Arabidopsis thaliana: one gene and its partners. The protein of the gene in region 3 binds, or shares a complex with, the protein of the main gene of each other region. Each region holds a gene or a part of one and is shown on either strand. Other genes may lie near its edges. The genes, in order: RPB5D, NRPE3B and NRPD2A.

Region 1 (9,776 bases), on a different chromosome or scaffold from region 3:
ATTTGGGGTAAAATAAAAATTCACACACCCAGAAAAAATGGTGTATCGCTTCTCACTGTTTTGGATCAAACGACGAAGAAAGCAATAGAATTGGAGTGATTCAAACAGGACGAAATCAGTTGCAAATTTGAATTTTTGGGTAATGCGATCGCGTTTTTGTTGGAACCCTAAATTTTCCAGATTTGGGAAAGAGAGATAATTAGAGCGATGTTATTGGCGGATTTTGAATATAACAGTTAATTCAAAAAAGGCCAATTTCTCATAAAGTTTTTTTTGTTGGTTTAAAATTCTCATAATATTCTTTGTGACTAACAATTAACAACAAATCTCAAAATTTTAATGCTCTCATATCATTTGTTAAATGGTTTGGAAGCATTAAAAGTGTTAACCTGTGAAATGATAGTAATGACAAAATGATTTCGTGATTGAAATAAATTGTTAATAAATTGTTTTGTTTATTGACGTCACACTCCAATATTTTTATGTATAAAATGTGAAGCAAAAAATTTCAAAACCACTAATTATTTCAGCAAATACATAATTTGGTCCAACACTAAACCAACCCTTCTGTCTCTATCTCATTTGTTCTTAAACTTTCATCTATTTTCGTATCTGAATAATTCTTTTCATCAAAGATTTTAGTTTTGAACCACATGGGATCAAGTTTGTGCTGTTCTCGCGATCCAGATAGCACCAGACGTAGTACGATGGGGAGCACTAGCGACCGGAGGTGGCAAACCGGCGACGACAAGTATCTATCGGACACAAGCACCTTTTCCGTGAAGGAGCAAGAGCATCAGCTTAAGGCGGCCAGACGGGAGGAGCAAAGACTTGGCCATGAAGCTGAGAAAGTCAACTCATGGGTCAAACATGAATCAGCCAGATTCGACCATCGTCCATAGTTGACCATTGTTTTGTTTTGACCAAGCTTTCTATGTTTTTGTAAACTATTAAACAGAGTTGTGTATTTATGTTAACCACACATTAATTAACTATCAAAATTGTTTGGTTTAGAGACCACAAGAAACACATTACAGGTTTTTACATCAAAACATGTTACAGATAAATTGCTACACAAAGAAAGAGCTGAAAATATAAACAAAACGAGTTTAAGAAACGCATCGGTATGTAACATGCGACTCACTGAGCTCGTCTTTGTATGTGACCTTCATGACTTGCCCTGTCTCTAGTCCATAGTATCGCACAATCGGGTCTTTGCTCGATAACCGAGGAAGCTAACCAAAAAAAACATTCTAATTCAGAGAAAAGCTGGCTCAGAGTCAGAGCTACTAGTACTAGTAATGATCCAAATACCAAAAAACTTGCTTACTTGTTTCTCCTCAATACTGAACTTCTTGAGAAGTGATTCCTTCTCTTTATCGTTCAGAACCTGATGTTTTGGCCTCAAGACATGTTTGCTTACGTTAACCAACAAATCGGTAATCTAACAACACAACAAGCGCAACCAAGATGTTATGAGCCAAATGTGGGAACACATAACCTAACACGGTACTCAAGATAAAGATATATTACCTCGAATAACTCGACCTTAAAGGAGAAAAGTTCAACGGCTTTAAGAGCTTGGTTCGTTATATGACTTTGCAAAACCAGTATCAGTCCGGTTATATTTTCTCGGCTAAGCACATCTGCTGCAATGACGCGCATCGCATTGACTTTAACTATACCAGTTCCACAAAACACTACCGAGATCTGAAATTCAAATCAGAGAAATTGCTATGTACTTGTGACTTCAGTGACAACAGCAAACGACGATAATAAATTTCAAGGAAACAACCTCGCTGAGGAGTTCTTTTGCAGTTCGGCCTAAGCCAAGTACTATATTATTAACTCTGAATAGGAGAAGCCAAGAACAGAGAATAATGTGAAAATTGTTTATTAGAACTCTTAACCTTACAAGTATTACTATGGTAATTACACATTAACTAACTGATTAGTGCTAACAAACCCAATTACCTAACCATTCTTATCTAACCAAATTTAAACCAGTCGAACCATTTAGATTTTTGCCAGAAGAAACAACGTCTCTGTTTCAAAAACAGAGGAATCAGATAAAACCAAACCTAACTAGGAACCAAGCTGGAAATCAGAGGAAGTCTTTAAAAGTAGAATGCTTTCTTCAGACAAATTGCATATTACATACAACTAAATCAAGTCAATGGAAAACACTAAGTAGATTTCAAAAGCTAGGCAGAAAAATCAACATGCAGAGAAAGAAAACCATCAGAAATCGAAATCACATTCGTATTCGTATCGAATTCCAATTACCTTTTTCGAAGAATCAAAGCGATGTTTGGCTGAGATACGAAGTAGATCTACGTCAGGATGTTCCCCATAGAGCGCTCGAAATTGCTGGAGGGAGAGGTTAATATCTTCGTCGGAGACATCGTATCCTCTGTCTCGGAGCATCTCCATGGTGGTTCGACGTGCCAGGTAATATTTGTGACACTCTACACTTGATTTACTAATGGAATGTCCAACCACTATCTCTTTCCCTTTCCCCTCCATCGTCTCTCTCTCTCTCTCGGTCTCGGGGAAGGAAGCAAAGCTTGAGTAATGTGAGGGGTTTGAAGATGATAAGACCCGTTGTCGTTTTCAATAATCAGTTTACCCGTGACGTTTTTACCGTGACAGCGGATGAAGTTTACAAACAGACTTGGATGGTAGCCAATGATCAAGCAGGTGATGTAGTCAAAGGCGATTGTTCTGTAACTTTAGTGACACTGGTTTTTGGAAAAATGGTAAGCCATACTAAAATAGCTAGAAGAGATAAGATAGTAGATGACGTTAAGAGACAATTACTGTGGAATGCCTAGTAACATTTTCGTTACCGCTACTGCCGTAACAGGTCATCTGTAAAATGTAACAAAAACAAATTTGTACAAGACCAAAAGGCCAAAACAGCAAACTCTAATTTTTCAGTTTGCATATCCATATTAAAAAAAGGTTTAGCTATTATTTTCAAAGAAATAAAATAGTTCTAGGTTTACATAAATATTTTCATCCTGTTTGTATTTGTTTGGAAAAAAAAATCATTTTATAACATGTAAATTACAAAGATCAACGTGAAGAAACAATTGAGGCTTGACATTCTAGGTTTGAGCTTTAGGCCACTTCTTATAATATACAGCATGAAAACAAACAAATCATTCAAAGAACACAACCAACCAAACATATCTTAAGTCAAAAGTTATATCTTTAGATTCTTTTTCTTCTCTTCACATTTTCACAACAACATCACTCAAACGAATCCAATTACTAAAGACAACACTTGTTACAACGTACCAATCCATTCTCATTGCATCCATTGCATCTCTTAAACCCATCTTCTTGTTCCTCAAACACTTTAGTACTACCGCCACAATTAGTACACGGCACAAACCTTGCATCTCCGCAGCTATCGCAGGCTCCAATGGATTCGCAAGCAGGAAAATCTTTTAACATCTCTGCCAGTTCACCTCCATCGTTGAGTATCTTGATCTCCTCAATTCCACCAATGCGGACGCCTCTTATAAACACCTGAGGCAAACAAACCGGTTTCTCTTCGCCGAGTGCATTCTGAAGCTCTTTCCTGTATTTGGAGTCCATTGAGATGTCACGCTCCTCTACCGCAACCTGAAACCCTCTCAATATCGCTCTAACGCAACAACAATCTTCATACGTCTTTCGAATTCCTCTGAGGCTAGTGAAGTATACTACTATCTTGTTCTCGTTATCTTCTTTTTCAAGCAATCTTGGTTTCTCTTGGTCTTTTTCCGAAGTCTGAGAACTCAATGGACTAGAAGATACATATTCTGGTAAACTGACTAAAACCGAATGATTTGAGTGGCCATTGCTACTGTTCTTGCCTAGCTGTTTGGAGGACAGTGCTCTTTTGTAAGATGAGATAATGTTAGGATCTAAATCAGAGAGAAATGATTCTTCAGACATATGTTTCCACAGAGGTTGCTTAGGTTTAAAAGGCAATAATCTCCAATCTTCCTCATCTTCGTAAGATCCATACGCAGACCCATTAATAACCACGTCTCGATTCGTGATGGGTTTAGAAAAGGAATCCAAATTTACGACGGAATTACTCTTACTTGTATCGGAATTCGCGGAATCGAATTCGTCGTCGAGGTCGTTCATGAGCTCCCATGTGTTGATCACTGAGTCAGGAGAGAACGAGTCGCGAGCCTCCTCTGTTTCAGGCATCTTCTTGTTACTCTTCCCGGAAACGGAGATGTGAGGCAATGTTTGTCTGTCGTCGAGAACAAGAGAACCGTAAGTGGTCGATGTAAGAGAGACAAAGTGGTGTGTGTCGCCTTTTTTAGCAGGTGGATGATGAATCGACGGCATCGGAAATGTGAAAGCTTTAGGTACCGATGAAGAAGGGATGTTGAATTCCGTCTCCGGAGGTGAATTCAAAATCGATGTTATAGAAGAAGCAGAAGCAGAGGAAGCGGTTTTAGAAACAGAGGAACCCATAATTTCGAAGCAGAACAGAGAAGAAGAACAAATGTAGTTTCTACACTCTTTTTCTGGGTATCTTGTACTTTTTCTTTTGTCGGAGAATATAAAAGAAGAAAGAGAAAAAAGAAAGACAGAGAGAGAAGAAACAGGTGGAAAGGAGCTGTCTAAGTAAGTTAGAGGTGGAAGATGGTGAAAACACTAAAGAAGACGATTGTGATGTTGATTCGTCCATATCGAATTTGCTTTGATTTGATAACTAAGGTAAGTATCCATTTGATCCTTATTTTTAGAGCTTAATTTCAGAAAAGTAATTATAACTGAAATCAAAGAAAGTAAACTGTCAAGATCCTCAAAAATTGCATAACTTCCAAACGTGAACTAGCCAATGACTCCCACTAATATAATTTTTCTAGGGTAATAAAAACAGAGCAAATTAATATCCAACCTTATAGAAACTTAATTGTTATAGAAGACTAAAATAAAATATCATACCACACATTCAAATCCCGACGACACATACAAAGTAAAAGTTGGATATAAGTTTACTGTTAGAGAAATTGTGCTGTGCACTGATACTTTCTGTTATATGAGAATAAACATGAAGCTGAATCGCACAAGGAACACTCATTGAAGATTCCTTTGGTACTTTGCCTTTTAATAACTGGAATAAATAAAGAAAATATCATCATCATCATAAACAAAAGCAAGATGGGCAAAAGAAGTTATTTTAGTTTCTTTTATGTATAAAAAGAAGGAAATCTTGGTAACTTATCCGTAAAGAAAGAAGCCAACGCGCTAAATTTGTTTAGAATATTTCAATATGTATGTACTTTTTTGCTTTTACCAACAGAAAAAGGAAGTGAAATCTTTACTTACTATTTGCTTATAATTTCTTCATGTCAAATTTGAAACAAGTTTCTGACATAACTCGTCCTACAATTAGTCTTGTAACATTTTTAAGCTATTTGAATGATTCTCAACTAAAATCAGCTGAATCTCTAGACTCTAGGAATGTAACTCATCAAATGGACGAATATAGTCCAAATTCACATATCATTCATCACAGTTTGAAAGTAATTCACTTTTGGAAATAAGAACCAGAAGACAAGCATCAATTGACACACATATTATAATTCTCTCAAATCAGCAGAAACACACACAAATAATTAACACGTATAATATATCTATGAGCAAACAAATCACCTATACCTATATATTTATCTCCTCTATAAACCCAAACTCTTCAATCTTTTGGGACGATTCACACCGGAAAAAAAAAAGCTGAAAATCGAGTAGGAGCTAGGAAAGAGGTGAAGAATGTAAATGTGATCATGCGAGATGTAAAGGAGGACCAACTTCTCGGTTTCTGAGTGAACCAGCAATCTCGTCGGCGATGGACAAACATGTTAAAATCCAGCCGCTCAGAGCAAACCAAACCGTTTTCGTCAAAAGCATCGCCATTTCCAAAGGCATCGCCATAATCTCTCACTCTCTCAGTTTTGTGAGCTCAATTCATTTGGCTGAAGAGAAGAAAAATCACTGGAAAAATTGGGAGATCCAATGGTGGAATTTTTACGGTAAAGGAGATGAAATATGAAAGAATAATCAGGCACGTGGGACACGAGAGGATCTTTCCAGCAATAAGACATCGCCACGTGTGGGTTCTGTTCACCAGCCGTGTCTCTTTCTGGCCAGTTAGGACAGCGTTAGGGGACACGTCACTGTTCGACCAATAAAAAGAGAAGATCGCAACCCAAACTTTATCAACCCGACCCAGTGGTTGATTACTTGGTACTATATGTTATGCAAATTTTGATAGTGTGTTTATTTTGTTTTTAAATACCAAAATAAATGTCATTTACGAGCTAGCTGACATTTCCCCAACGAACTAATAATTATTCCCTTATAATTGGACATATTTTGTTTCCTTTCATATTTATAATTAAACTTTTGTATTTTTCCTATCGTTAGTTGATAGTACTTCACAAAACAACAGAAATATTGCATAAAAAGGAGGCATAATGAATATTACTCATGTGATTGGAAATAAATAATTATGTAAAATAATTTGATGCAACAAACATCACAGAAGCTTCCTTTTGTCACATTTTTTTTTCTTTTTAGATAGTTCTTGGAATGTTATCTCTAATCAAAATTAGGGCTAATGATTTTGCTTTCTTTATAGTTAAACGTTAATATTATTGTCCAGTTTTGAAATACTGAAAAAAACGAGAGAGTACACAAAAAAATAAGAAAGAGAAAATAAAAAAGTGATGGTCCAATCGGAGCGGCTTATTGGGTCATAGTGGGCTCGGAAGGCAATGGCCCGTAATCCTTCCACCGTCAAGAGCGGGAGGTGGACGCTGCTCTGTGAAACCAGCCTCACGCGGTCTCCCCCACTCTAGAAGACATGAGACCCGAGCCTTCGCTCGAAGCCCATGCCTCAACTCCCAACTTGGAATGGGCGGGCCAGAATATAGCCCAACCCGAACCCGGCCCAATGAGATCGACCCAACGTCCCATCCCCTTATTGTCTCCACTTGGATCACAAGCCCGCGTTACTGAGTTCGACGTACAATACTCGCTACCTTCCCTATTATATACAACAACAAAACGTTTTGTTTTTCCGATGTGGGACAAATAGCTCTCTTAATACAGTTTTCGTTTCCAAAGGGAACAAATCATAAAAATTTCATCTTCAATCTCAGGAATTATATCTTTGAAGCTTGTTCGTATCAAAAGGCCAAAACTTTCGACCACTTCCAATTTTTGATAAGATTGGATTTAGATCTTTGATGCTGTTACACCCACAAGATGAGAGAATTTTACAATTCGTTTAATGGTTCTTAAGCTAGTAAATGTAGCTGTTAGTTTTGATAAGATTCATTACTAATTCTCGAAAGCTTCAATCTTTGCAATAGTTTTGGATTCTTAAGCTAGTAGCAAGAAACTTCCCAAAAATCTTGTGGGTTTAACAGCATGAAAAATAAAAGAAAAAAACGAAGAAAGCTAATCTAGGGGAGAGAAGTAAATTGACAGAGAATAAAACAACTACTGTGTCCGAGACCATCCTGGTTTTGAGCCATTGTTAGTGTGCTATCACCTGAGTGAAAAGAGAGAACAACCAAGAAACAAGTAAGATAAGAGATGACAAAAGCTATAGTATGAAACCACATTTCTAGTGTTGCTACTTACCACTATCTGAATGGTTTGAAGCTTCTGATTGAATAGGTATTCGATTTAGTGGATCTCCTTGTGTCTGCATTGTCTCTTTTTCCTGATGATAACGATGTTGCTGCGGTATTACTCCTAGCAGTCCGTTGTTGTTTGCTTCATATTCAAGAGTTAGCAGATCTTCTACTGAGAGATTCTGTTGGCATTCTCCATATAGGTCTTGTAGTGGCTTCTCGGGTTGCGTTAGTCCTCCTTGCAGTCCGTTGTTGTTTGCTTCAGATGCAAGAGTTAGCAGATCTTCTACTGAGAGATTCTGTTGGCATTCTCCATATAGGTCTTGTAGTGGCTTCTCGGGTTGCGTTAGTCCTCCTTCAGACCGAGGTTGTGATATCATTGTATTTAGGACGTGATCGATCAGTAGAAACCACTTCTTCCATTGCTTTTCTCTTATTACTACTCAACATTGGTTCAAGTTGTTCGGATTCAATTTCTTGGTGGAGAGGCAAGATTTCAATCACTGATGACTCTTCTTCTTCTTCTTCTATCTCCGGTTTAGACACCACAATCTCTTCTATGGCAACTGGTTTCTCACTTTCTTTCTTCAACTTCGTTTTCATCATATGAGGTTTCAACTTGGTAAGATCAGCTAACTTCACTGGTTTCAAGAAAAACTCTTCAGCTCCTTCTTCCAAACATCTGTTGGAAGAAACCACCACAATTTTGTAGATAGTTCAAAGACTTATTCAAACCAAAGAATCGAATAATAGTATCCACTTGCCAATTCTCAAATCAATAATACTCAAATTAACTTTAAAGAAACAGAGCTCTTACCTGGAGATTCTTGCAGGAACGTTCTCAGATGACATTATAACTACAGGTATACTTCTAAACGCCGCTGATTCCTATACACAACAATCATGTAGATTACTCAGAAGCAAATCAATTGTTCTTTTTTATCAAACAATGGCATAAAGGAAAGTTTTTGAGTGGGAAAATATTCCAAAATGAGATTTTCAATTTCTCCATTGACATTCTCATTTGGAAAAGAAAACTAAAGTAAAAAACTTTATTTCTTTTTCTGGAAACGAATTTAGCCAGAGATGGAAAAGACAGTAACCAAATTGAGAAGAAATACCTTAACTTTCTTGAGCAAATCATAACCAGTCATGCCAGGCATACAGTAATCTGTAATTATTAGATTTATTTCAACTTCCTGCTCAAAAGCCACAAATTACAAACAAATCTCAATATAACCATTCATTGCAAATTTCGAAAGTAACCAACTTTGAATCATGTAAAAGATCAAAAACTGAACCTGATGAATTTGTGGCGATGTAGAGAGTGCATTTGGGTCGTTGTCATCTACTCTTAAACCCAGAAATTCCAGAGCTTTAGAGCCTGAATCAACTGTAGTTACTGCAAAACATAAGAACAAGAACCAAATAAAGAAACCTTTTTTTCAGTATATCTTCCTTCTCTTTCTCCAATACATATAGCTTAAAGATTATGGCTTTTTCGAATCTACCTTGACATGAAGACTTTTGAAGCAATCTCTCAATCATTTTCCGATCAAAAAGACTATCATCAACAGCTAAAACATGGAACTTTGACTCTGTTTCCATTACCATTGTAGATATTCAATCGAAAAAAACTAAGATCTGAATCTAAAATAGACAAACCCAGATGCAAAGTTTTCAACTTTGTGTTTTGTTTTGATATCCTTCTTTAGAAAGAGATTAAAAAAAAAACGGTTTTTTTTTCTCTACCGGAAATGTTGAGAGTTCTGAATGAGCTTGTAGGAGAGAAGAGGAGAAATAAAAGGGGGTTTGTATTTTTCAACCCAAATCTCGGATAGTGAGAGAGAGACGAATAAAAAGGAAATAAGACTAATTGGATCTAGCTTTGGTTTACGGAGTAAGCAAGTTTTTTAAATGATGAAAGTAATTTCCAAGGAGACAACGAGAGAAAGAAATTTAAAAAAAAAAAAGACTTTGATAATGGATAAAATAAATAATGGAAAGAAATCTATATGAAGATTTTAAAGGATTTGTTTAGCCCACCAAAGACTTTTTTTTTTTTTAAGATAAGAGGATGAGGGATTTAATAATGTGTATACTACCACAACCACATGC
Region 2 (9,127 bases), on a different chromosome or scaffold from region 3:
AAAAATCTTTTAAAATCCTTGTAAATATTTTAAAACCCTTTAAAAAACTGTTAAAATCCCTTGTAAATCTATTTCCCGTCAAAAAAATTGTGAGAAAAATGTTTTGGTGGAAACTTTTTTTGGCGGGAAAATTTTGGCGGAAAATTTAGTTTCAGAATATTTTAGGCAGGAAAAAATCAATATTTTATTTTGTTAACTTAAAACATTTTCCAAATAGGAGTAAAAAGGCATAAATGAAAATGACAAATAAGAAAGGGTATAATTGAAAATAGGTAATGTTGAAAGGGTATTCTTACCAATTATTCTATGTTTTTAATGTGTCTAATTTAAAACCATTTTGGAATCGTTCACCAATTCTATGATGAATATTTTTAATTTTAGTATTCATATCTATACCAAAAGTTATTGATACGTAATATATTTTTCATTCAAATAATTTGAGTTATTGATATATGATATATTTTTCATTCAAATAATTGAAGTGGTGAAGGAAACAATGCAACAGTGAAATTTATATATATATATATATATATATATATTTTTTTTACTTTTGAAAACTTACAACGTTGTCAATTATTATTTTTGTTAAATTTGAATTTAGTTATAAGAAAATAAACCCGTCCATCGGACCAGTCTTTATCTATATATATGTAAAAGTAAAGAATGAACAACATATCATTACTCACCATAAACTTATTTTGTGACTGACGTTCATGAACTTGAAAGAGCTTTAATAAACCCTCAAGAGGTATGCAATTTAAAATTGGATATCCACTATGCAAAGGTCTTCCATATTGAAGTTCATGCTATTCATGTGTTGCTTATCTTGGAAAGTTTATGAATTTTTATGTTACTTAATTCAAATAAAGATGTTATTAGGTATCAGTAGGGGTGTCAAAATGGGTCAAAATTCATGGGTCAAACTCAACTCAACTCAATCCATGGACCCTAATGAGTTGAAATTTTTGACTCAAATGAGTTGATGGGTCAAATGAGTTGATGAGTCAATTGGTTTGATGAGTAAAATGAGTTGAGTTGTAATGGTTAATGGTTTCAATGGTTTACCCAATTAACCCATCAAGTTTTGTAAAATTGAATTAAACCAACTAAAATCTCTAAACCAATGTCAATTTAAGTCTAACCAACACATCTAAATCAATTTAATAAAATTAATAGTTTTCCAAATTTCTTAAATATACAAGGGATGAAATTGAAAAAAAAGTAAACTCGTAATTTTTCCACCAAAAAACATAAACCCGTGATTTTCCCGCCAAAAACGTAAAACTGTGATTTTCCCGCCAAAAACGTAAACCCGTGATTTTCCTGCCAAAAACGTAAACCCAAGATTTTCCCGCCAAAAACGTAAATCCATAATTTTTCCGCCAAAAACGTAAACCCGTAATTTTCCCGCCAAAAAAAAGTAAATCCGAGATTTTCCCGCCAAAAACGTAAATCTATAATTTTCCCGCCAAAAACGTAAACCCGTAATTTTTCCACCAAAAACGTAAACCTGTGATTTTCCTGCCAAAAACGTAAACCCGAGATTTTCTCGCCAAAAACGTAAACCCGTAATTTTCCCGCCAAAAACGTAAACCCGTAATTTTCCCGCCAAAAACGTAAACCCGTGATTTTCCCTCCAAAAACGTAAATCCAAGATTTTCCCGCCAAAAACGTAAACCCGTAAAAAGTGGAATCCGTAAATATCATAAGTTTGATGATAATGAATTAATAATAATTATTATTTATTATTGTTTTATAATAATAATGTTGGTCTGGTATGAGAAGTTATGGGAAAGAGTATATTACAGCATTTTTAATTCGTGAATTTCATACCTGGAGCAACTTGACCTATTGACTCATTTACTCTCAGGTGCACTTAAATAATTTACGGCGAGCGCCTTAGCCTATTACTATTACTCAAAAATGTGGTCGAGAAATGTAAGATAAGGATTCCGGAAGCATTGGAAATTAAGTAGGAGGAAGACATAGAGTAGCCATTACAGTTGAGTGTTTAACACGTAAATAAATTAATTTAATTATTACTTAAATGTGTTAACCCATTTAACAACTCAACTCATCAAATTAAATGAGTTATAGTTTGATCCAATCTATTTAACAAAATGAGTTGGGTCAACCTATAACTCATTTAACTTTAAACTCATTTGATTATGAGTTGAGTTGAGTTGGGTTACCCATTTTGACACTCCTAGGTATCAGCATTAAGAAGAAACAAATATTTTTCATCCACTCACATTTTTTTTTTAAGTATACATATATATATCTAACATGTGGATATATATTATTTTTTTAGATAAATTAATAGAAAAATATTAACTTGGTTTTGTTAGAGTATCTCACTAATATAATATTAAACTTTTCAATATTAGTTTAATATTTTGTTTTTACCTTAATTAATATCAATTAAAATCTTTTTTCCTATATTAACTAACCCATTCTTAACAATGACAACAAAAAAAACGCCAATTACGAGAGAGTTCAACGACTAAAAATAACCCAACATAACAAGGTTCAGGAACACAAGGATCAGTCAGAGGTCGGGAACAAAGACAAGACTGCCACTTTACATGTTGCTATCAAACAAGGCAGTGCCGCTACGGTTAATATATTAGTCTGGTCTAGAAGAAACTTAAACCCTGATCAAACAGGTAAAAAAAGAGCTACGATTTCATCCTTCACGCATATGGGCACCGAGTTCACCAAACTGATCATCGGCTTCTACAGTGTTATCTGAGAGACGGATTGCATCAAGCTTCTGCTTCAGGATATCAATGGCATTTAGTACCAGCTGAGAAGCCTTCAATGCACCTGTGGACTCAACAGTGAATACAAAACTATCATGTTTCGGATGGATCTCAATGAGTCCCGGTTTCCCCATTGCTTCAGCTTTCTTGATCACTTCTTCATCGTAAGTGTATGCTTCAGGATCAACCACCACAACCTAAGAAGCAAAGTATTATAATTACAGTTGTGATGATTCAAACAATAGACTGCAAAAGAAATGAGCTAAACGCACTAAACACTTAAAGAAAATTCATACACCACATCACATACATATATTTCAAAGCATGGTAGCCTATAAAGTAGTACAATCATATTGAAGTCTCAAAGCTATAAACTTGTATAGATGTTATTCTTACAGAACATCGAAATTAACCTGTCCGGTGACTGGGTCAATGCCAAACACTTTGGTAGGACTGCTCTCAATCAAGTCAATTTTTTCCTCATCTGTCAAAGTGTTCATCATCTCTTCATTGATAATAATGTCAGGCTCATACATATACGTAACAGTAGCTGCAGGAGACCATTTCGCATGATCTTTCCCAATTCCTTTCCTAGCTAATGCTTTAAGCTTCAACTCTTGTCCCCTGCGTAGTTTCGCAATGATAATTCCCCTGAAACCAAAACAATAACAGTCTAAGAAACTGCAGAAAAAAAAGCCACAGAACTACCAAAAGGAAGACTCATGCAAAGGGCATCTAAAGATGTCAAATTTTGTTTAGCATTGTGTAATATCTAAGCTTAGCAATTCCAATCAATTCATAAAGAACAAATAATCACTACAATGATGAAAAGGGACTTACTTGTGCTCGCTTGAATCAGAAGTAGATGAGTTACTAGTGAAATCAACAGGAGTAACAGTAGGATCAGCACTGTAGAGATCCCTACTAGTAACATCTAGGGTTTGGTCAGTAACACACTTAGCACTAAGGGGAAACTCAACAGAGCAGAACTCGCAATGTTCATCTCCATTACAATCTTCACAATCTTGACAGAACCGCATGCTCATAGCACGCTCGCTAGTGAGAGGGATGAGACTAAGTCGTTGAGCAATGAACTCGTCGTTGAGAACAGAGGAATTAACCTCGATTTTGACGAGATGGATTGCCATGGTGGGGACTTCGGAGATCATTACGCGACGGAGAGCGTTGGCCATTGAAACGTCGGTTTCACGAAGCTCGAACTTGGCGTAGTCATCTTTAAGCTCACGGATCTTCACCGTTGGGAATCTTTGGTAGGTGACACCGTCCATTTCAAAAGCTGTTCCTTCTGACGACTCTGGGACTCTTAGGGTAATGACTTTTCGATTTCTTCGCCGGAGAAGAAGAAGAAATTTGGAGAGAGCAAAGTGAGTGAGAGTGGAAAAAGGTATAAGAAGAACTATAGTAGTTTAAGTTGGGCCTATATGGGCCTATTCTTTTGTTTACTGGGCATTTTCAGGCTTCTCATAACAGTTATTGGGAATGGTCAAAATGTCTACAATGGATTTTCTGTTTACATCAATTCAAATAATGACCCAATGTTATTTTAAGACTTTTTAATCTTTATAATTTGAATTACATAATAATAATTTTGGAAATACAAATATTAAAAAGAATCGAAATTCCATATTTTTAACAGTAACTTGGATTAAAAACATTATATAAAGAGTAAAAAGGATTAAAAATGCATTGGTTCATAAAGAATAATGGTAAATTTGTTGTTTTAATCTTTATATAGTGTTTTTCCAAAATTATTCTTTCTAATTACAATTAAAATTTTTTTACATAATTAATTTTAATGGTAATTATGTGAATGGTTTCGGACAATGTACAAGTTGTACTCATCATTATTCCGCTTATTTTCATAATTATTCCGCTTATTTTCATTGACACAATTAAATCTTGACCTAAATCTAAAAGATTACATATAATATATTTTATCCAACAGAAAATATAAATTATTTTTAAAAATAGAATTTTAGTGGGTTTTGGGGCTTTAAGTGCACTGATCATGTCTGGTCCAAAATTCTAATATTGCTTTCCTTTTTTATTTTTATTTTGCCAAGAAACCAATTCCGGGTTTAACTTCCTTGTAAAACCATCCTTTTCATATATATGATATTTGCAGTTTAGCCAAAAAAAAAAAGTTGAATTTTAATCAACATTTTTAAGCACGACGGTTTCAACTAGTAGTACCATATCGCGGGTTATACCATTACCGGAATTTATTAGAGATTTTCAAAATTTACCTGATTGAAAATTAGCGGATTGTAGTGTTGGAGCCAAACTGGATTAGTGACTGAGTCATCGGGTTTACCGGGCCAACCGCGGTTCCGCTCGAATCTGAATACATTTCCCTCGTCAAAATAAAAAAAGTCAGAGGACGATTGGTCGATGAGAAAAACATTTAATAAAGGAAAAAAAAATGAAAAAACAAATGGGGCCTTTGGAGCGATGTGATGACGTGGCAACCCCCGGAGACTTTCAAATAGCATATTGAGAGTTTTACATGCATGTGAATATCAAGGGTAACATCTAGAGTCATATGAATTGCGCGTGTTATGTCGTTGTTAGTCGTTCATGTTAACAATAATCTACGTATACCGTTTGTGACTTTTAAAACTAAGTTCATGAACCTATTACATATAGATCAAAATCTGGACCATAATTTTATTGGTGTATTGTTAGAAACTTAAAGTTCATATCACTTTCTCTATGTTTCGTGGCCTACTTGCAATTTTTTAGGAATCTTTTGACCATTAGTTTTTTAAACGAGTTTAGGACTTTGATCACTAAGGTAAATCGTTTAAACAATTTGGGATCACTTAATTATTGACATGATTGTATGTTTTGATTGGGCATGTCAAACAGATCTCAATATTTATGTAATTACAAATTATTGCATATTTCAATACATCAATGTCATGGTCTTCACAACGTGCCTGACAAATCCTAGTTGTTTGGATTCCAAATTGTTAATAATTCACAAGAGCTCTCCCATAGGAAGTTTCTTCGATAATTCTGAATATTATATAATACAAAATCACAATTTGGAGTTTAAAGACTTTTCTTCTATTAAACAAAATAGAGTCACGTTTGGAGTTCGTTGATAGTCACAACTTAACAATGACACATTAGAATATTCAAAGTTTTATCTTATTGATCAGTGATTGACATTAAAAGTTGTAATCAAGTTATATAAGCGTTGTAAACTCTTTTTGAATCATCTTCACAAACTAAAAGTCAACATGTATCATATATTTCAGATCTCCGGCGAAGTTATCAAGGGTTTGGGATTGAAGACGAAAATTCTGATAACCATCGTCTTTAGTACCTTACTAATTTTGTCTGTTATGTTACTTTCATTCTCAAACAACTTCAACAATAAACTTTTTGCTGCTACAATCAACGGTAAGAAAGAAAAAAATAAGCATCCATGTTTTGTCATTCATTGTTAGCTCAAAGAATTCTCCTTTTGACCTTTTTTTTTGTTATATGTTCAGACGAATCCGAAACACCGGGGCGGGATAGACTAATAGGAGGGCTTTTAACCGCAGATTTCGATGAAGGTTCTTGCTTGAGTAGGTATCATAAAACTTTCTTGTATCGCAAGCCTTCACCATACAAGCCGTCTGAATATCTTGTCTCGAAGCTTAGAAGCTATGAGATGCTTCACAAACGTTGCGGTCCAGGGACAAAAGCTTACAAGGAAGCAACAAAGCATCTTAGTCATGATGAGAATTATAATGCAAGCAAATCAGATGGTGAATGCCGATACGTTGTGTGGCTCGCTGATTACGGGCTTGGAAACCGACTACTCACTCTTGCTTCTGTGTTCCTCTACGCTCTCTTGACTGATAGAATCATTCTTGTTGACAACCGCAAGGATATTGGTGATCTCTTATGCGAGCCATTTCCAGGTACTTCATGGTTGCTTCCTCTCGACTTTCCATTGATGAAATATGCTGATGGATACCACAAGGGATACTCTCGTTGTTACGGAACAATGTTGGAAAATCATTCCATCAACTCGACTTCATTCCCGCCACATCTATATATGCATAACCTTCATGATTCAAGGGATAGTGATAAGATGTTCTTCTGCCAAAAGGATCAAAGTTTGATTGACAAAGTCCCTTGGTTGATATTTAGAGCCAATGTTTACTTTGTTCCATCTTTATGGTTTAATCCAACTTTCCAAACCGAACTAACGAAGCTGTTTCCGCAGAAAGAAACCGTGTTTCACCACTTGGGTCGGTATCTTTTTCACCCTAAAAATCAAGTTTGGGATATCGTCACTAAGTACTACCATGATCACTTATCCAAAGCAGATGAGAGACTCGGGATTCAAATTCGGGTTTTTCGCGATCAAGGTGGATACTACCAACACGTCATGGACCAGGTCATATCCTGCACACAAAGAGAGAAACTTTTGCCTGAATTGGCTACACAAGAAGAATCAAAAGTCAACATATCGAACATTCCAAAAAGTAAAGCTGTTCTTGTCACTTCTTTGTCTCCTGAGTACTCTAAGAAACTAGAGAACATGTTTTCAGAGCGAGCAAATATGACGGGAGAGATTATTAAAGTATATCAGCCAAGTGGAGAAAGGTATCAACAAACAGACAAGAAGGTTCACGACCAAAAGGCGCTTGCTGAGATGTATCTTTTGAGCTTAACCGATAACATTGTTGCAAGCTCAAGGTCAACATTTGGATATGTTGCTTATAGTCTTGGAGGATTAAAGCCATGGTTACTTTATCTGCCAAATGATAACAAAGCTCCTGATCCGCCGTGTGTTCGATCCACGTCGATGGAGCCTTGTTTCCTTACTCCTCCGACTCATGGATGTGAACCTGACGCATGGGGAACTGAATCGGGGAAAGTTGTTCCTTTTGTTAGGTATTGTGAGGATATATGGGGGCTTAAGCTTTTTGATGAGTTATAGATATTGTTTATCACATTTGATTTGATTTGATTGTTGAATTATTGAAACATAGGATAAATGTTATATATCTTCCTTTTTCATTTTATTCTATTTAATCATTAGTATTAATATGTTACTGCATAGAAAGATTTAGTTGTCTAAAACGTTTGCGAGGTTTTGTTTGGTTATAATATTTTATAAATATCATTTCACATTTAACTTATATCATTTCAAAATATAAATCAGTTGGTCTAAAATCATAAAAAGGTTACTAGATTATACAATATGCAAAATCAAATGGAAATATTGAAGGAGAGGTTGATGTTCTAGCCGTTAGGATTGGAGGGTTTAGATGCACTCAATCAGGATATGGAAAAACTTAAGGGGACGAGTTAGTGAATAAGACAAGCCGTTTGTGAAGTGGCCAAGTGTGAACACAAATGCAAGTGGAGATCACCCTTTTTGTTCTGTGGCTTCTTCTTCTTTGGATTAATTGGGTCATGGGAACAAGCTTATTTGGACCCATTTTGAGGCCTCCTTAGTCATCTCCTAAACCAGCTCGAACCTGGGATGGATTCCTTGGATCATTCCTCATAAAATAGGTGATTTTTTGATGAATATTCATGCCCATCTCAAATCAACGAGTAGTTTGGCCATTGGGTAGTTTCACAGGTTCGTGGTACGGTTTGGGTAGACTCATTCGACCATCTCTTGATTTAGCCCGACAGTGGACAATTGTCTTTCGATCAAAAGTCTTAAAATATGTTGTGTGCTGATGTATTCTCAAGCCCACATCATTTGTACATGAAAAATTGGTGTTGCGTGGTGTTGGTGAGCTTTCTCGGTTATGATCACGTCTGGATTGGAGTTGCTGGTCTAGTACGGTTGGGAATGTAACTACATGGGTAGGTAGTCTTCTGGTAGATAGATTGAATTCAAGAAGTAACAAATCATGGAAATTCGTTTCTCCTTTTCCATTAACGTGTTACCCAAGGAAGAATGCTTCTCTTTGGCTATACGCCTATACCATCATGTGTTGATCCATTTCTGTTCAATCTGGTTTTGTATGATATACACACCAATTCAGAACGTAACAAGTTTTGTAAAGAAAAAGGAATAGTAAACATAGGCATACACGCCACATCATAGACTGGTGTTGCGGAGAGGTTAAACAAAATAATTATAAAAAGACAAGAAATATCTTGAGTGAGAATGGACTTGGTCAAAGGGTTGAGGCGGAAGCATATTCTGTAGCAATGTGCTTAATGAACATGTCACCTTCATTAACAATCAAATTCATCGAAAATAATTGGGCTTTTTTTTTTTCAAGTATGCACCCTATTTTAGAGATTCTTTTTTTTTTCCAGATATTTAACTTAAAACATTTATTTTTTACAGAATATATTAAATTTTTATATGT
Region 3 (12,762 bases):
ATACATTAAGATTACTTAAACCATAATCTTTCTTTTTATAACTCACTTATGTTTTTTTATAGGTTCATGTTGCTCTGCCATTGGTCCACAAAACAACAGAACAGTGTTAGCACTTGCAAGCAGAATTGGGATCAACTATGGAAAATTAGGCAACAATCTTCCTTTTCCTTACCAATCAATCAACCTCATCAAAACCATTAAAGCAGGCCACGTCAAGCTCTATGACGCCGATCCAGAAACCCTAAAGCTCCTCTCTACGACCAATCTTTACGTCACCATCATGGTCCCTAACAACCAGATCATCTCAATAGGTGCTGATCAAGCCGCTGCTGATAACTGGGTCGCCACTAATGTCCTTCCTTTTCACCCGCAAACCCGAATCCGATTCGTCCTCGTTGGCAACGAGGTCCTCAGCTACAGTTCTGATCAAGACAAGCAAATATGGGCTAATCTTGTCCCTGCCATGCGTAAAGTAGTGAACTCTCTTAGAGCTCGTGGAATTCACAACATCAAAGTTGGGACACCTCTTGCCATGGACGCTCTTCGTTCGAGTTTTCCTCCTTCGAGTGGTACATTCCGGGAAGATATCGCTGTTCCGGTGATGTTACCGTTGTTGAAGTTTCTCAATGGAACAAACTCTTTCTTCTTCCTTGATGTTTACCCTTACTTCCCTTGGTCTACTGATCCGGTTAATAACCATTTGGATTTTGCTCTGTTTGAATCGAATTCTACTTATACCGATCCTCAAACCGGTTTGGTTTACACCAATCTTCTAGACCAGATGCTCGATTCGGTTATCTTTGCGATGACCAAGCTCGGTTATCCGAATATCAGTCTCGCAATCTCTGAAACCGGGTGGCCTAATGACGGTGATATCCATGAAACCGGAGCTAATATTGTCAATGCCGCGACGTATAACCGGAATTTGATCAAGAAGATGACTGCTAACCCGCCACTCGGTACACCAGCTAGGCGCGGTGCACCTATACCGACGTTTTTGTTCTCTTTGTTCAATGAAAACCAGAAACCCGGTTCGGGAACAGAGAGACATTGGGGAATTTTGAACCCTGACGGTACACCGATCTACGACATCGATTTCAGCGGTAGAAGATCGTTTTCTGGTTTTGATTCGTTGCCTAAACCGAGTAACAATGTTCCGTTTAAAGGTAATGTATGGTGTGTGGCGGTTGATGGGGCCGATGAGGCAGAGCTAGGGCAGGCGCTTAACTTTGCTTGCGGAAGAAGCAATGCAACATGTGCAGCGTTGGCTCCAGGAGGAGAATGCTATGCACCGGTGACGGTTACTTGGCATGCAAGCTATGCGTTTAGCTCGTACTGGGCTCAGTTCCGGAACCAAAGCTCTCAATGCTACTTCAATGGTTTGGCTCGTGAGACCACGACCAACCCTGGTAAGTTTCTCTTAACTTGTCTCACAAGAAAACTCTACACAGACGTGTAAATACTCTTTAATTTCAACTTTTTGGTGAAATTCTGGAATATTCTTATGATTGTAATTTGTAATGGTTACTATCTTGTTACAGGAAATGAGCGTTGCAAGTTTCCTAGCGTTACATTGTGAGGCTGCCTCGTGACTCAGGCGTGTGGAGGAAAGGATCAAAAGAATCATTCGCATTAAGTTGATTATATCTCTTGATAATTATGATTAGTTTCCTTTTTATTCCAAGTTTTTACTCTTTGTGTCCCATTGTTGTGCAAGATCTATAATAATCTATAGAAATTTGTTCCTCATCCCTTCTCATTTCTCATATATCTAGTAGTTTATTAATGTTCTGAAGGAAATTATGAGAATTTTATAACTAATTCAAGAACATGTTTTGCGATCATTACTATACGAGAAATATGAAGTTTTTGATTCACATGTTCCTAAAGAACACGAATATGAAGAACATATAGTAGTGCTATAGTGTTCTTATTTGAACAAAGCGATTGAACGGAGTTATGAGTTATCGCATTATGAAGAAAAAAACAGAACCAATAAAATCATAAAATGGAGTCATGACCTTCTATATGAAAGCGAAATCGAAGAATGAGAGAAACGACTCCGAGCAAGGGGTTTATGCCTCCGGAAGAAGAAGAAGACAATGAAAGTTTTCCTAAAACTTTACTTTAGATCCGAGAATTATTAACGGTTAAAGAGTCAAATCTCACAAAAGCAACACTTACGGGTTAGTTCAGTCATCAGTGGCTCGGTTTTACGATTTCTTCGGTTCGGATAACCCTTACCGAATCAACCAAACCAAAACCTATACTACTAACCAGAACCGGGACTGAAGCAAACTACACATAACATGGTCTTAAGGCAATAAGCCATTTACATAATAAAGAGGGGGAATCAGCATAGCTTGGTGTCGAAGTTGAGAGTGATGCCCATGCTGAACAGCTCCTGACACAGAAGCTTAGCTCCATACGGAACATAGACCCTAACCACATGGTCTGAGGATACGCAGACTCTACAATATGGCCCTCTAATCTTTCTTCCACTGCTTGGAGTCCTCTCGATCACATTCGCATAGGTCTTACATTTTCTGCAGATGTGCATCTGAGAAGAGTCACTTAGAGTGAAGAGACGCTCATGCAGATTAGCTGATGCACCGTGAGCTATTAGGCAGTCTCGCTCCATTTCTCCAAATTTTATCCCGCCAAATCTCTTCCTGTCTGCAACTGGCTGGCGTGTGAGCGGGTGGACTGGTCCAGTGTTCCTGAACTTGACTTTGTCCTCTGACATGTGGACAAGTCGCTGGTAGAAAGTTGGGCCCATGAATATCATAGAACGCATCATCTCACCTGATCTACCGTTGTAGACCCTTTCGTTTCCCCATCTTGAAAAGCCGGCCCTAATCACAAATATTTACCATTGGTAATGAATCAGGACTCAAGAATCAACAATAATCTAAGAAAGGTTAAATGAATTATACATAGATCACAAGGCTCACAGCATCAATCCTCTAACTAATTATATACTGGTACATGACTCTTGAGCCTATTTTTCTGTATTCTCTAGACGTTTTTCAGGCACAATACAAGAAATTAATCAACCATAGAACATTGAACTTCTTAGTTTTTTAGTCTTACAGAGACAGATAACTCATGCTCACTTCTAGTACTCCTAGAAAACAAAATAAAGATCCACTATGACATGTTTCAAGTAAGGTGCTCAAATCTAGCTTAGTGCCTTGTGCAGTATATTAGCTCAATCAACTTTTGGAAATTCTGTAGCCAAAGTCTCCAAGTTTAAACATCTTCAACGAGGAAATATTATCAATAATATGTTCCTGCCCTTAATGATATCATCTATTTGTATAGGAAGCAAATGTAAATCTGTTATAGCATATAATTTTATATTCTGTTTTACGAGCTAAAACCAAGAGACAATGTGAAGAATGTACCTGTGAAGCTGCTCGGTGATTTCAGTGACACCCGGAGTGGAGAAAGGAGTGGCATGACGTGTCAATTTGGTGTATGCAGCAGAGCTACCCTCCTTTTGTATAGGACAAGCGATTCCTTTGGAGAGAGCAGCCTCCAAGAGTTGACCTGGTGTTTGCCTAGAAGGGAAAGCGTGCGGGTTTATCACAATATCAGGAACTATGCCTTGGATCGTGAAAGGAAAATTCTGCTGTTCCTCTAGGTAGCCTAAAACACCCTTCTGGCCATGCATACTGGAAAACTTATCTCCAAGGCATGGAGAACGAACCTGTAAGATGTAAAAGCCAATCAATGGAACATTCGATTCATACATAGGAATGCATTCTCTGAAAAAACAGCTCGATTTAGTATGATCTGGAACTTACCTGTCTCAGAGAAACCGCAGCAAAATTCTTCCCTTCATCATTAGATGATAATACCACTTTTTGCACAATTCCTCTCTCAGTGTGCTTGAGCTTTATACTGTGATCAGCCCCAGACTCGGTGCATCTGCCAATGACAATATCGCCAGTACTCATGTTAGCACCAATGAAAGGAAACCCGTCATCTTCAAGGCTGTCTACTTTGCCGATTTTGCTGTGTGTCTTTCCAAACTGAACAAGCTCATCCATCTTCTTCCTCTTCTCTGAGTCTTTAGCATCAACCTCTGCTTTGTAGCTTCTAATCTGCTCTGAACGGAACATACCACGTTCCAATGAAGCCTTGTTCATCACAATGGAATCCTCTTGGTTGTACCCGAGATGAACATTCACAGCAACAATTGCGTTCTGGCCATTGAACAGCACTTCTTTTTTAAGACACTCCGACGCCAATGTCTTGAACAGTGGCTTCTGAGGATAGAACAGCTGCTGGGACAGCGTATCGCAGCGGATGTTAGGGTTCGTTGATGAGAATCCAATGGCTTGTTGGCAGTGCTTCTGGGACTGGTAGAGAACTCTTCTCCCATGGTCGTGATTTGCAAATGGGACAACTGCACAGCTCACACCCAACAAGAATGACAGGTCCAATTCGCAATGTGTGTATATCTTTGGTTCCTTCAGAAGCTGTTTGATTCCCCATGCTGTATTACAGTCTTCTTCTTCCTCAATCCCGATCAGCTCGAGAATCCCATGGTCAAGAAGATGGTCAAAAGGATACTGTGAAGGTTTTTCTTGCTTCAACTTTTGGAGATTTTCCACAACCAAGAGAGGTCGGAGTAGTCTACCAGCATCAGTGAAAATTCTTACCTCATTGTCATCTTTATCTCGCTTGATTTCCATCTGCAGAGAACGTTTCATATATATAAACAATATTCGACATAGACACATCTGAAGCAGAAAAATCCAAAGCAAATACCAAGTAACACAAGAATATCAAAATATAGCAAGAGATTTGCTGAAACAGAAGATACCTCACGAGGTAATTCACTTTGGCGCCGCCTGCTTTTTAACTCCGCGACAAAGGATTCAGAATCTGCACATAATCCAACCCAGTCTCCATTGAGAAGAACTTTATGTTTGCCAAACAATGGTGTGCATGTATCATCCATCAGCTCTTCCATTCCACAAGCGAAGAGCTTTTCCACCACAGACTCCAAACTTTGGGTGCTCACAAGTCCCAGAAGAGACATGTTCTTCACAAGACCACAATTTTCACCGTCTGGAGTTGACAAAAAGCATACTCTGCCCCAGTGAGAGGGGTGCCTGTGGCCAACATTACAAACAATGCAGCTATAGTTCAGTTTCCCAACACGATTTAATTGTCTAACCGCTCACATTGAAAAGGAACCAAAATGGATAATCTCAAGAGTTCAACAGATAGATTGACCAAGGGAGAAAGAAACAAGAAAGACAGTATCAGAGTTTTTTAATAGCAGTAACATCTATACAAAATAAGTATTATACACAGACAAGAGACTGCAGAAACAGTGATCGGCATCATATACTACATTGAATTAAAGTTATTACGAATATCTTTAAAACAGTCTGAAGACATGTAAAATGGAGTAAATGCAGACCAGACCAGTAAGTTAAAATACGTGAGATATATTTAAATATACCAGAGGAGGTGGAATTCACTTACGGATATCTAGCATCTCCAACCTTGCCGGTATATAAGACTTGCTGTCGCGTTCTCCTCAGATCAATCAGAGTCTGCAATGGATTTGCACGACCCAAATTAGCCACAACACCTGAAACCCTTTCCATCTTCCTGAAAGGATGAGACCATGCTCCAGTAGAGAAGGCTCTACTAAGCCCATTTGTGATAACAGAAGCATCCAAATAATGCTCAATAGGCTTCAAATCACCATCGCCTGAGAGGTGTTTCTGCATGGCCCTGGTCATCTTTCTTCTAGCATGTGCCAGATGCACCCTTATCTCCCTCTCCAATAGTTCTCCAGCGAGCTCAATTCGCTTATTCCGGAAACTGTCCCTGTTTTCGCATTTTCTTTTTCCCGCATACGAGTTCAGAAGGCACTTCACCATATAGCCCAGGAATCGAGCTTTCTTCTTCAAACTTTGGAGGCCTGGAAACAAATACAGATGGAGGCACTCATCCACACTTTCAGCAGGAGGGAATTTGGTGCTTTTGATCTGCTGTTCAACATATGTTAAAGCATTGTTCCCACAGCGAAAAGCTTCACAAACTGCATCAGCTACATGGATAGAAGCTATGAGACTGTTGGTAATGCTTGCATCATCACCATCAAAAGCAATTAGATCCATGGCTTCTTTGTCTGACGAAACACCTAGCGCAAAGAAGAGGAGCCAGACTGGAATCTCAGTCGACAAGAAGTACACTGTCAGTACTTTCTCCCTTCTCTTATAGTCTTCTGCTTTCTCATTCTCCGAGAGGCGCACAATGAATCTATTTCTTTTATTTTCGGACCTGAAGGAGACTGTCCATGGTGAATTAGAAATCCACAGTCTCTTTGTGCACATCTGTTCTTGAGCTATAAACACCTGCAAAACAATATAATAACGTTAGGGAGAAGTATAACAACTTGAAAATATTTTTTCCAGAATATATTAGAGTCAAATCATCTGTCCCAGAGCCTAAGATTGCAAAGAACGCTTCCTGTAAGATTTGAATACTCATGGCCTCATGGTCAAGCCAGAAAGGAAAGAAAAAGTTTATATCTTTGATGCTAACGAAGTATACAAAGTCATAAATAAGTTAAGTTTCTTAATTTCTTACTTCATCTCCATTAGGAAAATAAAATGAACCAAATAGGTTATTGTCTAATTTGTAACATCTTTTTGCTGATAAACACTATTATCTGATGATAGAAAATTGTAACTATAATCCGTTTTATGGATTGCTGACAAACAAAATCCGTTTTGGCATAGAAAATAAAGTTATTGTACGTATTGAATGGCAATATGCATATATGTATGTATTAGTTAAACTCACCTTCTCAGCCCCCTTTATCACGAAATATCCACCCTGATCAAAGGCACAATCCCCCTTTTTGCAGTTTTCTTTCCCTTTCTCGCTTGTTTTGCAAAGGATAGATTTCACCATGACAGGAATGCTACCAATTAGAATGTCCTGCTTTTTGACATCCAGTATCTTCTTCTCGACATAGTTGTCTTGTCCTGTCTTGAATTTGTCGCTTTTAACAACAGTATTCTTGAACACCTAGTCAATTTATAGAGTGAAGAAGCAGTTAGACAATAAACTACATTTATAAGAATAAGATACATGGACAGCAAAACAGAAACATCATCAAAAGTTTGACAGTACAAGAGTCATTGCACACAAGCATAAAACACTCAAACTAAAGCACAGTGAGGCAGTGGGGAAGAACTAAATAAAAAAAAAAGCTGAAGATGTTTTTCTTTTATTGCATCCAAACTTTAAAATGAAACAAACTAAAGCTTATTTCGTTTGAATACCCACCACTACAAGGAAAAGTAATCACAATTCAAATTTTAAACAAGAAACATCTAAAGATTGGGAGCAGACAAAATCATCAATCTTAAACACAACCAAGCTTGAAATACACCTCTACTTCACACGAACATGTAACTGTAATAAATCTCTTTTACTAGATATTTTGCTCAGGTAAGAAATCCAGCGAATGCAAATAAGGAACCAAATCCAATTACAGAAAACTTGTAAAGCCAAAAAGAGTGAAACCAGTTTCAGACAAATATGTTCCTTAACCCTTAGTAAATTATTTGATGGCAAGTTAAATTGAGAAATCTATGACAGGAACCTCAGTGTATGTCAACATCTTCATATATGTGTCAGAAAGAGTCTAGTAGAAACATCAAGAAATAAGCTTATACCATGTGTTCTTTATCATTCATCAAATCCAGACAAGGTTACTTAATTTCGACAAAGAATTTCTGTTACCTCAACTTGGACATTGACTTTGATCCTTGCAGAGTATGTCATGTTCTGAAGCCTAGCATGCCATGGGAGAAACTCAAGCTCCTTGTCATCCGAAAAGAAAGTAGGCTTCTCCACAGTGACTTCTCCGAACTTCACCGTTGCGTATCTCCAATCATTATCCTTCTTCTTTACAACATCAAAAGACGGTTCCACAAGCATCTCACCAAAGGATTGAAACACATTCTGAAGCCCGTGTTCAATGAAGTAGTTGTAGGAGTTGAGCTGATGACTTATAAGTCCATACTTATCAAAGAAAGAAGTTGCAGCTTTTTTGCAGAAACTCTGCAGAAAACCTTCTCCTAGCTCAGATAGATTGATCTCCCCAGTAGTAGCCTCGAACTCTTCAAGATCCTTCACATCAATGTCCATATCTGGCATACCTCAAAACACACTGTACGAACAAAAACCCTAAACAAAGACAGAGAAATTGATTAAAAAGCTGTGAAAATCATGAACCACGAAAATGCAATCATGCGAATACAAACACGAAATCAACAACTTTCCCTTAGAACCGAATCATTCTCCATAACATATTCTCCGATGCTTAAAAGCAGAATCAAAGCGTATTACCTAAAATAGGTACCTTGATTGCTTAAAGCTGGCACGATGGAGTAAAACGGCGGTGTCGGAGGAGTGCAGAGTAAACGTCGCCGGAAAATCGCTGAGAATGCGGAGAGATTCGACGTAGAAAACCCTTGGCACACTTTTTCAGTGGTTAAGCGAAGCAGTCAAAGAGAAGTGAAGAAATTGACGTCACTAGTACTAGTAGACAATATTATTAAATTTTGCTCTTTGGTATCTATATTTTTATGTTTAAGTTTTATTTTATTTTTATTTTAAAGTGAAAAGGAAATATATTTAGAAGTTCACATGACATAAAATTTGTAACATCTTTTTTTTTTTCCAAAATTTGTAACATCTACATTTTGGTTTTTACATCTAATTCGATTTGGTTGTTTGGTTTAATAAATTTCATATATAACTTAATTTTGACCAAAACACAAAGAAAAAAAACAACACATAATTCACTAAAAAAGCTCAGAGCAATCCCAATGGTTTAAAATCAATTAATTTTTAATTTTGGATCTTAAGCTTATTTTAAATTAAAATGTTGTTTTTACTAAGTTAAGAAAAGTTAGGAAGAAGTTTAACCAATTTCTACTTCAATGGTTAAGAACGATTAGAATTTTAAGAAACAACAAACTATTTCAACACAATGTCTACCCACTCAAAACACAACACATATGCTTTTCTTAGTTTTAAGAAAATATCTTAATAAAGATGTTTTTGTTTAACCAAAAAAAATAAAATAAAGATGTTTTTTTTTTTGGTGAGTGACGGAGAGGCTTAATAAAGATGTTTATCTTAGCTAAAGTTTATTGGTTTCATTAAATTTAATCACTTTTATACCTAAAAATTAGCTAAGATACAAAGTTGGGGTTGCTCCTACAGTTTAGAAATAATCATCAAATAGTTACCAAATTTGGGACATCATAATTATGGGTAGTTTGATTTATTAGGTTAAATCTGATCTAATTATAGAAATATAATATATAAGTAAATAAAAAGTTATTATATAAGTGTAAGTATTGAGCTCTGTTTTTTGTTTTATTATCTCTGAGAGTCTGAAGAAGCCATGCTTCTGTAGCGGTGCCAACCAACTTGGAACTGATCTTTCCTGTGAAAAATCGTAATCATGACATCGACCTACTTTCTCGTCTCTTTCTTTCTACCTTTCTTTGCTTCTTCATCTTTCTCTCTTTCTCCTCTCATATATTCTCTCTATGCAAGCAACTTCATCACGATAACCTCTTATCTCCTCAGCCATGGCTTCAACGTCTCTCGGAGCTTCGATTCTCGTTTCTCACTGCTCCTCAGCTCCTGAATTTCAAGTTTCTGGGATGAGATTGGTGTTTGGTTACAAGGCTTTTGGCTGCAGAACTTCACGCAGGGGATTTCGAGTTCGCTGCGAATCCAAGGCGAGTTCCTTTTTGGTTTGTGGACTTAAAAAATTGCTCCTTTCACTTTGATTTTTGAAGTAAGTAATCTAAAGAAATGAATTGACTTTGGGGAAGGTTCAAGTTTAGCTGTTGCACCAAAATAGACAACGAGTGGCTCTGACTTCTGAGTCTTATTAGTTTAGGATACTTGTCTTATGAAAGCTGAATTGCTTCTGATGACCAGGGTTTAAACAGCTTGATCCTGAAAGGCTTTTATAGGGTTCTTGTAAGTTTACCTTATGGTTCATTTCCTGAATTATATGTAACATCAATTGTGTACCGTTCTTATAGATTCAGGAGAAGGAGTTAAGGCGGTGTTCGCCATTCTTAGAACGCTTATCATTGCCAAGGGAGGCTGCTTTGAGCTCTAATGAATGGAAGTCTGTTCCTGATATTTGGAGATCATCTGTGGAGAAGTACGGTGACAGAGTTGCGGTGGTAGATCCGTATCATGACCCGCCTTCTACATTCACGTACAGACAGGTAACACTACTTCGCATCTCATTGCTATTATTTTAGATCCCCACACTTTTGAAATAGAGGTTTTTAAAGCAAATGACAGAACTTAGGGAAAAAACTGAAGTTTAAGAGTTAAGATTGATTGGCCATCAGCTTTTTTTCTTTATCGATTAGTTTTGTATCTACATATCTTAACTGCTTGTCAATAAGAAGGTAGCTAGAGGGTGCTGAAGATGAACCATATTCGAATGTTAGGAAGCATACTAAATTGATATTTCCTTATGATTATTGTCAGGCATGTCCCTTGGTATTTGCTGTGTTAATCTATATGTTAGGAACCAATGTTGTTTCAGTTATCTGCCTGAAATACTTCCTGTTGCTAGATAGGTGGGTAATTACTTTTGAAGTTTACAGTGATGCTAAATTTGGATGAGTAATGGAACCTTTCATTTCAATCATCTTATTTTGCAGTTGGAACAAGAAATCTTGGACTTTGTTGAGGGTTTACGAGTCGTTGGAGTGAAAGCAGACGAGAAGATTGCACTTTTTGCTGATAACTCCTGTCGATGGCTTGTTGCGGATCAAGGTATGCAGTTGATTATATAGAACACTTTCGAACTCTATAGTGTAGGAGAATAACAATCTATTACATAATCTTCTTAGTGCTTGAGCCTTAACTGTTGTTGGATGATGTCACTACACTTGGAATACTGAATTTACTGGTGCTTACCTTACACATTAATTATTTTTTCATTTCCATTCCAGAGACCACCAATGATCTGTCGAGATATTATTCACTTTTCTTCCTTATAAAGTAGTGCTTTATCCATCCAAACGACTAAATAGTCTCTCTCCATTCTCTAGATGTTTCTGAAAGGGAAAAATAATCAACCTTAAGGCTTCTTAAGTTCATACTCCAGTTTGAAAGTCTTTCATTTCATAGTGTATGGCTGGCTAAGTTTCATGCCCAAAGAAGTGAAAGTCTAGTTAGAATTTTTCAATTGACATGGAAAGTTAAATTTCACTCTTAGGTGGCAATAACATCATGGTTCTCGCTTGGGAAGTTGCCTTAACTTCCCTGCTTTACTGCAATAAAATTCTAATTATTTCATTTGGTTATTCGATTTTTTTGTTTTCCGCAGGTATTGGTATGTTTACGTACTCTTTACTACTTTATGCCAGGTATAATGGCCACAGGAGCAGTCAATGTTGTTAGAGGATCCAGATCGTCTGTGGAAGAGTTATTGCAGATATACTGTCATTCGGAAAGGTACACCTAGACCTTTTTGTGATCTTGTTATTTCAAGTGAATATCTTACTCGAGATAGAGGCTAGCAAATTACTCTATTCAGAATTTTATTGCTGTATACCAAAAAACACTTACTTACCACTTGTGTCATCAAAATTTATTTTTTATATGAACCATTTTTAGAACTTCTGTCACTTCAGATACATGTAACTGTCCTGCTTTGTCCAAGAGAGATTTCATTTAGTTTCATAGTGATCTGCACTCTTGATTAGGCGTAATTTTAGTCAATGTTTGGTTTCACACTTGTCTTATGGTTCTTCATAATTTGGAGGTTCTTGAATGGCACAGACAGAATTCTTTGGCCCTTCAATATGATTGTCTTTTGAATTACCTTTTATGCGTGTCTCCAGTTCTTATTTCCAAATTTATTCAGAGTACTGAGTTTTGGTAACTTCTTGTGATTTACCTTGCAGTGTAGCCCTTGTTGTGGATAACCCTGAGTTTTTCAATCGCATTGCGGAGTCATTTTCTTACAAGGCAGCTCCAAAATTTGTGATTCTTCTCTGGGGGGAAAAATCGTCGTTGGTTACAGCGGGTAGGCACACACCAGTCTATAGTTACAACGAAATTAAAAAGTTTGGACAAGAGAGACGTGCAAAATTTGCAAGATCTAATGATTCTGGTAAGCGCCATATCTATTTTTTTACGAACCCCTTAGTGATTTCGACAGTGCTAACAAAGGAATGACTGCAGGGAAGTATGAATATGAATACATCGATCCAGATGATATAGCCACAATTATGTATACCAGTGGAACCACAGGAAATCCAAAAGGTGTTATGCTCACACATCAGAATTTGTTACACCAGGTTCAAGCTAATACTTATTGTCAAAACGGTGTCTTTATATCTCCATTTATGAAATACTGAGTTTGCTGTTATGTTCTGATTTTTTTTTGTTCGTTTGGCTTGAATTACTTGCTACAGATAAGAAACTTGTCCGATTTTGTGCCTGCGGAAGCTGGGGAAAGATTTCTGAGTATGTTGCCATCATGGCATGCTTATGAACGGGCTTGTGAATACTTCATATTTACATGTGGAGTTGAGCAAAAGTATACGTCTATAAGATTCTTAAAGGTAAGTCTTTCTATGTTATGTTACATAATGACATTTCAAAAGAAACATCTTATCCTTGGAAATGGGAGACGTTGAGACTTTGCACTGAGTCAAG

What was found.
Region 1: NRPD2A (region 3) and RPB5D share a complex: the UniProt entries of both Arabidopsis thaliana proteins name them as parts of the RNA polymerase IV and V complex.
Region 2: NRPD2A (region 3) and NRPE3B share a complex: the UniProt entries of both Arabidopsis thaliana proteins name them as parts of the RNA polymerase IV and V complex.

The regions. Positions count from the first base shown.
Region 1 is NC_003071.7:17,221,776-17,231,551, reverse strand, and holds RPB5D (RNA polymerase II fifth largest subunit, D), read right to left. Parts: upstream 2,793-9,776; 5' UTR 2,527-2,792; coding exon 2,287-2,526; intron 1,711-2,286; coding exon 1,534-1,710; intron 1,445-1,533; coding exon 1,331-1,444; coding exon of another isoform or gene 1,259-1,330; exon of another isoform or gene 1,254-1,258; coding exon of another isoform or gene 1,236-1,253; coding exon 1,110-1,235; 3' UTR 903-1,109; coding exon of another isoform or gene 654-902; 3' UTR 501-653; downstream 1-500. Other genes in the region: AT2G41342 (uncharacterized protein), read left to right, coding at 654-902; AT2G41330 (Glutaredoxin family protein), read right to left, coding at 3,277-4,485; RR3 (response regulator 3), read right to left, coding at 8,016-8,340, 8,476-8,546, 8,780-8,857, 8,960-9,060, 9,170-9,272. UniProt on the Arabidopsis thaliana protein: DNA-dependent RNA polymerase catalyzes the transcription of DNA into RNA using the four ribonucleoside triphosphates as substrates.
Region 2 is NC_003071.7:6,707,946-6,717,072, reverse strand, and holds NRPE3B (DNA-directed RNA polymerase family protein), read right to left. Parts: upstream 4,179-9,127; 5' UTR 4,052-4,178; coding exon 3,603-4,051; intron 3,414-3,602; coding exon 3,176-3,413; coding exon of another isoform or gene 3,155-3,175; exon of another isoform or gene 2,960-3,154; coding exon 2,687-2,959; 3' UTR 2,464-2,686; downstream 1-2,463. Other genes in the region: FUT4 (fucosyltransferase 4), read left to right, coding at 6,029-6,191, 6,284-7,728. UniProt on the Arabidopsis thaliana protein: DNA-dependent RNA polymerase catalyzes the transcription of DNA into RNA using the four ribonucleoside triphosphates as substrates.
Region 3 is NC_003074.8:8,565,618-8,578,379, forward strand, and holds NRPD2A (nuclear RNA polymerase D2A), read right to left. Parts: upstream 8,593-12,762; 5' UTR 8,395-8,592; intron 8,233-8,394; 5' UTR 8,203-8,232; coding exon 7,786-8,202; intron 7,066-7,785; coding exon 6,838-7,065; intron 6,387-6,837; coding exon 5,506-6,386; intron 5,127-5,505; coding exon 4,835-5,126; intron 4,704-4,834; coding exon 3,810-4,703; intron 3,713-3,809; coding exon 3,408-3,712; intron 2,856-3,407; coding exon 2,354-2,855; 3' UTR 1,955-2,353; downstream 1-1,954. Other genes in the region: AT3G23770 (O-Glycosyl hydrolases family 17 protein), read left to right, coding at 63-1,409, 1,542-1,579; AAE16 (AMP-dependent synthetase and ligase family protein), read left to right, coding at 9,651-9,803, 10,116-10,307, 10,755-10,869, 11,466-11,553, 12,006-12,214, 12,286-12,401, 12,519-12,668. UniProt on the Arabidopsis thaliana protein: DNA-dependent RNA polymerase catalyzes the transcription of DNA into RNA using the four ribonucleoside triphosphates as substrates.